Linked DNA regions of Coturnix japonica. The main gene of each other region encodes a partner of the protein of the gene in region 3 in a complex. Links are inferred from orthologs where the notes say so. Each region holds a gene or a part of one and is shown on either strand. Other genes may lie near its edges.

Region 1 (3,654 bases), on a different chromosome or scaffold from region 3:
AAGGTGTCTTGAACTGTGGTAGAGTCTTTAGGGTCATGTCCAGCAAGTGTACCTGAAACATGACATGACACATTGAAGAACAGGAAAACCTATATTGGGTAGATGAAATTCAGCTTGCTTTGAGCAAAGATATATGTAGTAGTAATACCTAGCACAACTGCTGCATCATCCACACATCTGGTTAGGATTCCTGGCACATCCATGGAGTTCACTAGAGGAATGAGACCATGGCGAGAGATCAGTCCATATGTTGGCTTTAAACCTACTACACCACAGTGAGCAGCAGGGTTTCTGGTAGATCCTCCTGTGTCTGATCCTAAAGCTCTATGGTTTCAAAAGGATTGCCATTAGTAAAATGATTGAGAGTATCTCCAAACAATAAATATTTATGGCTTTATGATGCTTGGATTTAAATGTCTGAGTTCTTCCTGACTAAAAGTCTGGTTATGACAATCTAAATGTTAGTCTACGCCCTACATCTGCTATTTTTCAGCTGTTTTCAGCATTTTTCTTAGGGCCTCTGAATTAGCCACAAGGAGAGACTGGTTCTCCCTACAAATCAGAGGTAGACAAATAGAAACCGGGCATTCAGAATAGGGCCCTAAATACCTACTTCCTGCTTCTCAGTTGGTCTGTTCCAATTCTGTGGTCTGTGAAAGATGTCTTGTGCTTATTTTATGATTTTTCAGATATTCATGATTATTTCTTCACTAATGAATGATGATATGAAGTATCACGCTCCAGCATACAAAGCAGCAGTGACACAGTATGCTTTTTGCCCCAAATAACAAGGCATGCTTTTCAAAGTCCAGGTAAGAGGTTCTTCCTGTTTCCAAGCCTACAAAGTACAGTAGAACTTCCAGTTTAGTGTAGTTTCAATGCAATTCTTCTTTAAGTTGAATTCTTTTACTGCTTCTTCACAAGTGAAACCTGGTTCTAAACTGAAATTGTCACTGTAAAAATTTCAGCGGAATTTAAAGTTGCATTGAAATTAAGGTTCTTTTGTTTTTAGTGACTTTAAACTCAAAGACCACTTAAAACAGAAGTACTATAATCAGACTAAAAAAATATAACCTTAAGTATTATACATAAAAATGTGTGTTTTTTTTTAAAGCAGTAATCACTGGGAGCAAAAATAGTTTAACAAGCAGACACATACAGTACAAGGGTAAACAAAGACATAATAACTAAAGATTACTTAAATCATCTCCCAGTTAAGAACACAACTGAAAATATGTTCTGAAATGTAGCTCTCAAAACTGCATAAAATGAAAAGTGTGAATTTTTAAGGAACAGATTTCTTTTAACAGATGGGTGAGGAAGAGATAAAAACAATCAGTCAGTTTAATAGTGTGTTGCAATTCCATGCAGATAATTGTGGTAAAAAAAATACGATCTTTTTTGAATAAACTAAAACTCTCCTTCACATATCTTTATAAACTGGCTTCCTGTTTTCAAATTGGGTATTTGAAAGCTTGTGGACGTCAAATCTCACTTATATTATCACGCGCTCAGCTATAAAAACAAAGGCCAGAAGGAAAGATTTCTATACTGTTATAAGTTGACAGGTATTGTGTCATACTGAATTAAGTTTTCAGTGTGTACGTCTTTAACATAAAGAGGTAGAAGATATGTCTCAAACTCCATTGTTTTTAAGAGTATGTGGGAATAACAATAATGCTGTCATTCCTTTACTGCCATTATCACTTTTTACCTCATGCAGTGCAAAGCAGTTACATCACTACACTGAACAACATTCTAAATGAATAAGCCTAAATCCGCCTACAAGAAATCATGCTGGCTTCAAGGACAGGTTGAATGGGGACCTGGGCAACCTGATCTAGTAATTGTAGAAGTTTGGTGGCCCTGCCAGGCAGAGGGGTTGGAACTTCATGATCCTTGAGGTCCCTCCTAACCCAGGTCATTCTATGATTCTATGATTCATGCTATGCCACAAAAAACCAATGATGTTGAAATGAATTCTCACATGCCAGAGCAAACAACGCTCCCATCTCAGAGAAGATCAACAGCTTTTCTACAATTTAAACTACATTATTAGAAAATTATTAAGTCAAAACCTTGCAGCATATTTCAAGGCATTTAATTAGAAACAATTCTAAAAAGCTTCTTACGCAAAGCACGTGAAAGCCGATACAGCAGCTGCACTGCCTCCAGAGCTCCCTCCTGCTATTACCCAGTTAGAGTTTTCAGGCTCAGAATCAGATCTGGATGCAACTTTTTCCTTGTACTGTCTTGAATAACTCCAGGGATTTCTGACTGGTCCAAATACCCCATCTGTACTCCCAGACCTATAACAGAATGAAGACAGACAGAAGTGACAGACAACACGTTGCATTCTCCAAGTTTTTCTTTATCCAGTTCCTCATTCATTTTCAACACAAAAAGTCTGACCTATGTACAGTCTAGTACAGACAGACAACATGCACAAGTTGAGATCTTCAAAGGAATATTCATCCTTCACTACCACAGAACCTCAGCATCTGTTAGTGGGTGGTAACCCTGTTGGTGGCCAGGGGTTGGAAGCAGGTGGGCTTTAACGTTCTTTCCAACATGAGCCATTCTGTGATTCTAATGCCACTGGAAAGGATGCAAACAAAAATATGAAACAGATTTAACGTACCTAAAGGTAAAACTATCTGCTACAAAACAAAAGTACTCTGGCTTCCTGAGCCTGCATTTGGAAAACGCACACAAAGATGACCACAGCCTTGTGGGACACTGGAGGAGGGGGGGAAAGCCCCACAATTAGTGGCAACAAGTGCTCCAATGTAAATAACCCACTATTTCTTGCTCTATAGCTCTCCCCTGAGGTCATAGTTCGATGCTTCAGAGTGTTAGACTGGCTTGTTGGAATCTGGTTTCAGACTGTGGTAATCTAGATGCAGGCTGCCACCAGAAGCAGGGAGGGGCTTTCCATCTTCCTTGCAACTGCTACCTCAGGTTCTCCAGCTCCATAGTGTTGGTGTTATTAGCCAAATCAGCTGAGCTGGCAGTTGAAAATGAACCTAATTGAGACACTGCTTTTCAGCTGGATCAGCTTTCTCATCAAGCTGATGGTGCAGCCATGTTGGTGATGGCATGAGACTGTGAAAATACACAGTACAGAAATGAGAGGCCAGGGGTGAAAAAACTCTTCTTAGCAGAATCCTGTGCTCAAGCGAGCTTAAATTATTTCTAACCCTGCATAATGGGGAGGTCGGGGTTGGTTGTTTTTTCTTCTCCTGTGCTTTTTCCCTGCTCTCCCTCTGAGGCACATCTCTGACATGGAAATGACTTTATCCACAATGATCCAATCAAAGTATTTCAACCCACCTAAGCCAAAGGCATGGGTTTGGTTAAAATAAAAACAAAGCCAAAACGCAACACTTAATGTTTCTCATTGGTAGGTGAAGCCCTGGACATTGATAGAACTGTTAAGACTGGAAAAGACCTCTAAGATCATCTAGTCCAACTGCCAACCCATTACCACCATGGCCACTAAAGCACATCTTTTCAGTACCCAGTAGATCTGGTGACACAGGCTTCTGTTTCTGATTAGGGCTGTCCCAGGCTACTGGATGCTGCCTTCAATGATTTGTCAGAGGACAAATTTGTGACAGTGATTTCCAATTTCTCCTAGCTGAATTCATTAAT
Region 2 (3,576 bases), on a different chromosome or scaffold from region 3:
CTCCAGGGGAACCCAGTGCATCTACTGCAGCTCAGAACGTGGCTTCCTTCCTTTCTGTTTAACCAAACAGACCTTTTGCTTTTGGCTGCAACAAACCACTGAGAAGAACAGTTGTTTGACAGAGATGTGTTATGTTTGCCTCACTTACCTGTTGTTTTCAATTGTTTTGTAGCAGAACAACGTAAGGATATGAGCCAGGGGTGCCTCCTCCCCCTGGGTGCAGCTCAGCCATCCCACAGGGCAGCACCAACTCATTACACAGGCTGGGGGGAGCAGAGACACCAACACGCTGCCCCATAGGCAGCTCATCCACCCTATGCAAGGGCTCCTAATGTGCAAGCTGTGGGGATCTGAGTCAGGGCTGTAATTCCCTCATTAGCGAGGACATTGTTACAAACCCCTTCATTAAGGAAATATGTGTTTTTAACATGTAAGACAGTTGAGGCTGCAGGGAACAAGCATCAGGCGGTCTGTCCTCTCACCAGGCTGTGCTTAAGGGAGGGTTTGCAGGGTCTGATTCTTGACACACCTGACACAAGCTCTAATATTCAAGCTTTGCAGTGAATTTGATATTGGCATAGAGATTTGGTTTATTAATCACGTCTTGTTTGTAGGGATGCAGAATATAGACTCCATAGGAAAAATAATTACAATTATGGCTGTTTAGCATCTCTGCCAAGGAACGCTTACACAAAGCTGGTGTTGTTCATTACACAGAAACACAGAGAAGCAAAGTGGGAGTGACTTTTTTTCCCTACAAACAGATACAGAACACGCACTGTGTAAAGTAGGTGACACTCAGTTCTGATCTAAGGAGGAGTTTCTGCCCTCCTGGGGTATTTCAGCTGTCCCCACACAAAGCGCAGTAATCCCAAATGAAATATAGAAACAGCGTTTGGGTTCTGTCTCTATGAGCCCTTCAGGAAAGTATCTCGTTCTTCCATCTCTGGTAAAGGGATGTTACCTGGAAGAAAAGAGAATTGTGAGAGACCAGTGAGCAGTGCAGCTTAACGTACAGTGCTACTGCAGTCTGATTTGTGAGCATGTAAGGGAAGTCAGGAAGTTCTGTTTGCCTTCCTGTAAGCAGTGCTGGGCAGGAGCTGTAAGGTAACATTAACCCCTCTACTGCTTTAGGCTCAATAGCTTGCAGCCTGCTCCAGGTTTGGTTTGTTAGTACAGATGATTAGAGTCATCCCTTACTTTGGAAGGTGTTGGGTTAACTCGAGCACGATGCAAAAGTTCTATAGAAGCTATGGTACCTGGTGGGGCTACGAAGTATTCCTCGACTTTCTCCGTGGCGTTTTTCAGCAGCTGTGCCGTGCAGTTCCCCTCGGTAACGTCATCTTCCCGCAGATAAAGACACCTGAGGACAGCGGCCGGAGGTCTGCATGGAGCACATTGGGGCTGGATGTGCACGGGGCACCAACACGGCCCTTACCTGTCCTCCAGCACCGAGTCCATGGGCTGGACACCCTCCGTATCCACCTCCCGCAGCCGCTCCGCGAATCGCACCGCGTCCCGCAGCCGCTCCACGCCGTCGGCATCGCGGAAATCCACCAGGGCCAGGCGCTCCAGGTGGTCGAGAACCTCCATCGTGACGCCGTCCTGCAAGAGAGCACAGATGGGGCTCCTCAAACCGTTACCTCCACTAATGGTATGGTATGGTATGGTATGGTATGGTATGGTATGGTATGGTATGGTAATGGTATGGTTATGGTATGGTATGGTATGGTATGGTATGGTATGGTATGGTATGGTATGGTTAGGGTAGGGTATGGTTAGGTTATGCTATGGTATGGTTATGCTATGGTATGGTTATGCTATGGTATGGTTATGGTATGGTATGGTTATGATATGGTTATGGTATGGTATGGTATGGTATGGTATGGTATGGTATGGTATGGTATGGTATGGTATGGTATGGTATGGTATGGTATGGCATGGGTATGGGTATAGGTATGGGTATGGGTATAGGTATGGGTATGGTATGGTATGGTATGGCATGGTATGGTGATGGTTATAGGTATGGGTATGGCATGGCATGGTACGTTACGGCCCGGCCCCGTGCTCTGTCTGACCTGCGGTGTCGGCGCGGCGCTGGCTGTGCACACGCTGATCCTGAGTGCTCTCACCGTCCCGCCCCGCAGTCCCCGCCATAACCCCGGCACCCACATCTCGCGCCGCCGGAAGCGGTTTGTGGCGTCATCGCTACGCGCCGGAATCGCGTCGTAGCGGTGTCGGAGGGGCCGTGCCGCCATGAATAGCGTGGGGGAGGCGTGTACCGAGCTGAAGCGCGAGTACGACCAGTGCTTCAACCGCTGGTTCGCAGAGAAGTTCCTCAAGGGCGAGAACGACGGGGACCCGTGCGGGCAGCTCTTCAAGCGCTACCAGCTGTGCGTGCAGGTGCGGGCCCTGCCGAGCCGCCGCCTTCACAGCCCAGCATCGTGCCGTTGCAGCCCGTGCGGGGCGGTGCTGACGCTGCTGTTTGTAGATGACGTTGTGAACAGAAGCTTTTGTTTCTCGGTGCCGTTTGAAACGTGCTTCCAACGTAACCGTTTTGTTGTTGTTCTTCCCAGAAAGCCATCAAGGAGAAGGACATCCCCATCGAAGGGCTGGAGTTCATGGGCCCGAGCAAAGGGAAAGCTGAAAACTCCTCCTGACTTCAGCTGAATGCGGGGAGTCAGTGATACGAGCCCACGGGCTGGGAACGGCGGCCACCCAGCAGCCAGGATGGATGCACCGGGACAGCGCTTTGCTGAGCTGCTTCCTCCATGTAGCACTGTAGGAAGTGGGGTTTCCTCTGTGCCTGTAGAAACAAACTGCCGCGAGCCAAAAGACTTCACGGTGTGCTGCCTGCTGCCTCCTTCCCAATGAATCGTGGTGGTGGTTCGGCTTATAACAGTGCAAAAAGATGATTTAACTTCTGTCGAATGTACTTTATAATGGGAGATGTTGAACCTGTAGTTAATCTCTGACCCGTTTATCTTGCTTATTTATGATGTTAGGAAGCGTCTAACAAGAAGGTTGGTTTACTCTGTCTTATCTCTGTGGTGCTGAATTTGGGTGGAAGGAGGCTGGTTTATATGATCCCAAACACCAAGGGCCTAAAGCACAGGTTTTGCCAGTAACAGAGATGGTGTAAAAGCACTTTTGCTGGATTTGCAATAGCTTAAATGAAATAAATGTAAGAAGTTATATTTTGTTCAGGTGGATGACTGTTTGGTAACGTCTGATTATGACCTCCAGGAGGGACAGAGGCAGCCTGCAACAGAACTGAAGAAACAGTGAAAGCAGAGGCCACTTTCTTTGGCCTTTTCCGAGGTACTGAAGTGATCCTGAATCTGAGTTCTTGCTCCTGTAATGTAATGTGTCACTGCAGTAGAACTGCGCAGGCCTGGCTGTCTTTGCACACACGACCACACAGCACCAGGTTGGCCACAACTCCTGTTACATCTTTGATTGAGATAATCAAAGTGTTGAGTGACAGTGATGCTGAACTGAAGCTTCACAGCTGAGAAGTTCAACGCCCCGGCAGCTTGTCCCGCCTCTTGGGGGACCTCACCTGCTTATGAAACT
Region 3 (3,654 bases):
CATGAGTCCAAAATAAGTGATTGCAAGATCAAGAGTGAGGTGTCTATAGGCAGTTTCAGCCAGAGTCTTTTTTTGGTAAATGATAGCGAGACTGTGTATGGAGCATTATATTAAAATTTAAAGACAAAGGACAAGATGAAAAAGGTTCTCCCCAGGTATTAATTTAAAGGAAGATGTGAGAGAAAGATCACTCAACTATGGAAGTTATGTTAGAGCAGGCTGACATCTGATAAGCTGTATGCGTGCATTCTAGGCACACTGTAGTTTGTTTACTTATTATAATATTACTCCATAGTCTTGCAGCTTTCTTACTTTCTTTAGTTTACTTTAGCATTTCTAGTCTGACTCAAACTGTGTAATTAATCAGCTTGCATTTCAGTATCTGATGCATTTAATTTTTCTTTAACAGAATGAAGATGGATTAATGGAATTCTTTGAAAGTGTGGTAAAACAGACCCGAATGAAGCCAAAGAAAGTGATCGGCTGGATTCTGAGTGACCTACTCAGTCACTTAAAACAACATTCCCTTACAGCAAAGGAAAGGTCAGGCTTCTCAGTTACAACAGTGGTGAAATAAAATTGCTCCTTTTCTCATGTACCAAGAACAGTATCATGTCACTCTGATGCTGACTTCTGCTTTAGTTATCATCTGTGAGGTTGGTTATCCTAGGCAGTGCTGCTTAGGCCTTGACACTGTCATGATTAATGAAGTTAACCAAATGCCTTCCAGAGAAGAGGGCAATGATAAGGCATAATCAGGCAGTCAAGATCAAAATATGGTGTATCACGGGGGGAAAAAAATACTAGCTTGTCATGCTAAACTGTGTGACATTTAGACAAGCAACAGTGGCATAAATCTGTTACTTGTCCTCTTCTCTAACTCCTGTCCCCCTTTTCCACAGCCCCATCAGTTCTTTTCTCCTAGCCGACCTTCTGAACCTTCTAGAAAACAGAGACATTTCTTCTTCAGCAGCCAAGCAGGTATTTTTTGATTTCGCTGTACTTTGAATCCACCAATGCTTATTCCATCTGCATTCATTGAGTACCAACGAATTGGTTGCTTTAAATTATTCAAGGTGTTGATGAAGGATAAATTTTGCATCTGTGCCATATACATTTCATGGATGAAAATGCCTTGTGTAGTGTAATATCTTTTCGTGCTTAGTGTTATAAGGGGGCATAAACCAAACAGTAGTTCTAAGCTACAGTCAGTTAAGTCAGTTCTGCTTCCGAACAAAGCAGATGCTACATCTCAGTCTGGTAGCTTGAGTAGCACCTGAGGAAAGGTTGGTGGGAATTAATCCATGGCTTGCAATTAAGCTGAGGGTATCAGCTAGTATGTCCAAAGGGATACTGGAGCCTATATTGTCCAGTATTGGTGTATGGAAAAGGATATCAATCACCTGACTGTAGTCACAAAAAAAAAAGTCTGATATGGTGCATTCCGTGAGTCTAACACAGAGACATTTGACCTTTCTTTTATCCTGGCTTCTTATAGCAAGCGCTGCCAAGAGTCTCCTTAGCAAGGAGTGTCTGTAAAGCCAGTTTCCCTCTATCATTTTGCTTAGGACAGTCTGAAAAACCAGCACTTCACACATTCATCTCTTAATTTATGAACTGCTTATGATGGTAAGGTAACTCTGGTGCTTACTGGGCAGAATCTGGAGTTCTTTTGTGATAGGAGATAACTGCCGTTCTCCTCAAATTCTCTATGTGGGGTTTGTTGTCCTTTCAGGTGAGTTACTGTGCTCTGCATTTAAATACTTTAGTTAACCATTTTTCCTCAGGTGGCTGTAAGCAAAATTGTTGAAGATACTTGCCTTGCCTGCTTTCTAGCTTTTACCTCTCTTCAAGTTTCTTACCTCTCTGCACAAGGCACGTTTCCGCCTTTCTAGCACATGTTGATTGAGTCCGAGTACAACTTTAAAGCAATACAGGCATTAGTTCACTCTTGATGTGATTCTAAAGCCAGAGCTGCAAGTGTGGCTCTTTTTCCTACTTGGGAACACTTCCTGTTTTTGGGGGGTTTCTTTTGGAGGTACTTGTGGATTTTGATGATGTTGGCCTCCTCTTCAGAATAGCCAGCTGCTTTTTATAGGCACCGTAAATACAGATTTAAGTGCCTGACTTCAGGCATGTGCATCTGGAAATTTTGGACTGGAAAAGCAAAAGCTTCAAAAAGGATATAAAATATTAACAGGGAAATACACTGGGATGCAGAGCAGTTGTGTGCCTGCAGGGCAATGGGACACCCGTTATTTTGGGGTCTGCATCTGAAAAGGAGCTCAGAACTCCGTTCTAAACTCTGCTTCCTTCTGGAGGTAGAGAGGTACCGATGCCCCTCCACTGGAGTCCTTTCCTTGTGATAAATCTGTATGCCAGCACTTCTGACAGGTTATGAAATGTCAAGAATTTCAGAGATGCCTTTCTTGTTTAATTACCAACTCCTTGTAATGTGCATGTTGTCCTCTGCGTTCTGAAACTGGACACAGAGAAATAACAGTCCTATTTGCCATCACCGAGTGATGCTGTCAAACTGCAGGAACCTCGCCACATTTAGAAAAGTATTTTGGTTGCCTGGATGTCAGAAGAATAACAAATGTTTATAACAATTCTCAGCAGTAGGCCGAGATGCTGGATGGCCTGAGGGCAGAAGGGGCTATATATATATACACAACAGCAGATGAAGTGCAGCACTCGGAGTGGAGGAGAACGAATTGCAGTGGTAGAGACAGATCCAACTAGAAGCACTAGCAGGGTTGATGGGGTGAGCACACAGACTTGCATACACATACGTGCTCGCAGCAGGAAGCTGTTAGAAGTTTTAATTTGTTAAGAGGATTGTGTTCAGTCTCTGCTGTATAAGGCATTAAAACACAGATAAAAGCTGCGAGTGCTGATTATAGACACAGAACATTGTATGGTAGGATGCATATGCCAAGGAAAGGGCACGGTGTGCTTACATAATTACCACTTGGGTAATTACGGAGCTCACGCCCAGCTTGCCATCAAATATAGCATCCTACCCCAGAGGCCTCCAAAGCGGTTTCATGCTGGCATGCCTGTATAAAGGGGAGCAGCCTACAGCTCTGCTGGTGTGCAGGGCTGTGCAGTGAGCATGTCCTGCACTGGGGAGGCCTGCACAGGCACACGCTATGCATGGCCTCCCCCTGGAGGCACCATTTGGATGTCAACAGTGGAATGCAACTCTACTATACTGACACTGGTCTGATGGGAGTATGGCCAAAGCTGGACCTCACTGCTCGCCGTTAGGGCTTGGCAGTATGCACATCTGTGGCAGAAGGAACCTGGTTTTCAGCGAGGGCATTGTGGAAGGAAGGTGGTTCTTGGGTCAGGAAAGTAGAACGAGGCTTTGGCTGTTGAGAGCTGCAGCAACCCTGTGGAAACACCCCATTGTGTGTTTATTGGGGACCTGAGCAGGGTGTGGAGAAGAGCAGGCCCCTTGTCTTGTTTGCTTGTGTGGTTGCATGGGTCACCCTCACAAGAATAACTTCAACAGACCCACTTGGCACCCCTACTTCAAAGTAGGTAGCAGGAAAATGAGTACAGTACACAAACCTAAACAGAAGCATCTGCTTTGACTATTACGGTCGTACCATCTGGAGCAGTGAGCCCAGCCTGCCCCTCACTTTT

The links.
Region 1: GATB (region 3) and QRSL1 share a complex: the UniProt entries of both Homo sapiens proteins name them as parts of the heterotrimeric GatCAB amidotransferase (AdT) complex. The link is inferred for Coturnix japonica from reciprocal best matches to the Homo sapiens genes GATB and QRSL1.
Region 2: GATB (region 3) and GATC share a complex: the UniProt entries of both Homo sapiens proteins name them as parts of the heterotrimeric GatCAB amidotransferase (AdT) complex. The link is inferred for Coturnix japonica from reciprocal best matches to the Homo sapiens genes GATB and GATC.

The regions. Positions count from the first base shown.
Region 1 is NC_029518.1:61,914,976-61,918,629, forward strand, and holds part of QRSL1 (glutamyl-tRNA(Gln) amidotransferase subunit A, mitochondrial), read right to left. Parts: intron 2,310-3,654; coding exon 2,133-2,309; intron 325-2,132; coding exon 149-324; intron 53-148; coding exon 1-52. UniProt on the Homo sapiens protein: Allows the formation of correctly charged Gln-tRNA(Gln) through the transamidation of misacylated Glu-tRNA(Gln) in the mitochondria. The reaction takes place in the presence of glutamine and ATP through an activated gamma-phospho-Glu-tRNA(Gln).
Region 2 is NC_029530.1:8,238,624-8,242,199, forward strand, and holds GATC (glutamyl-tRNA(Gln) amidotransferase subunit C, mitochondrial), read right to left. Parts: upstream 2,259-3,576; coding exon 2,079-2,258; intron 1,606-2,078; coding exon 1,439-1,605; intron 1,364-1,438; coding exon 1,260-1,363; intron 965-1,259; coding exon 909-964; 3' UTR 562-908; downstream 1-561. Other genes in the region: TRIAP1 (TP53-regulated inhibitor of apoptosis 1), read left to right, coding at 2,257-2,403, 2,577-2,660. UniProt on the Homo sapiens protein: Allows the formation of correctly charged Gln-tRNA(Gln) through the transamidation of misacylated Glu-tRNA(Gln) in the mitochondria. The reaction takes place in the presence of glutamine and ATP through an activated gamma-phospho-Glu-tRNA(Gln).
Region 3 is NC_029519.1:29,502,178-29,505,831, reverse strand, and holds part of GATB (glutamyl-tRNA(Gln) amidotransferase subunit B, mitochondrial), read left to right. Parts: exon of another isoform or gene 1-401; intron 402-409; coding exon 410-543; intron 544-902; coding exon 903-981; intron 982-3,654. UniProt on the Homo sapiens protein: Allows the formation of correctly charged Gln-tRNA(Gln) through the transamidation of misacylated Glu-tRNA(Gln) in the mitochondria. The reaction takes place in the presence of glutamine and ATP through an activated gamma-phospho-Glu-tRNA(Gln).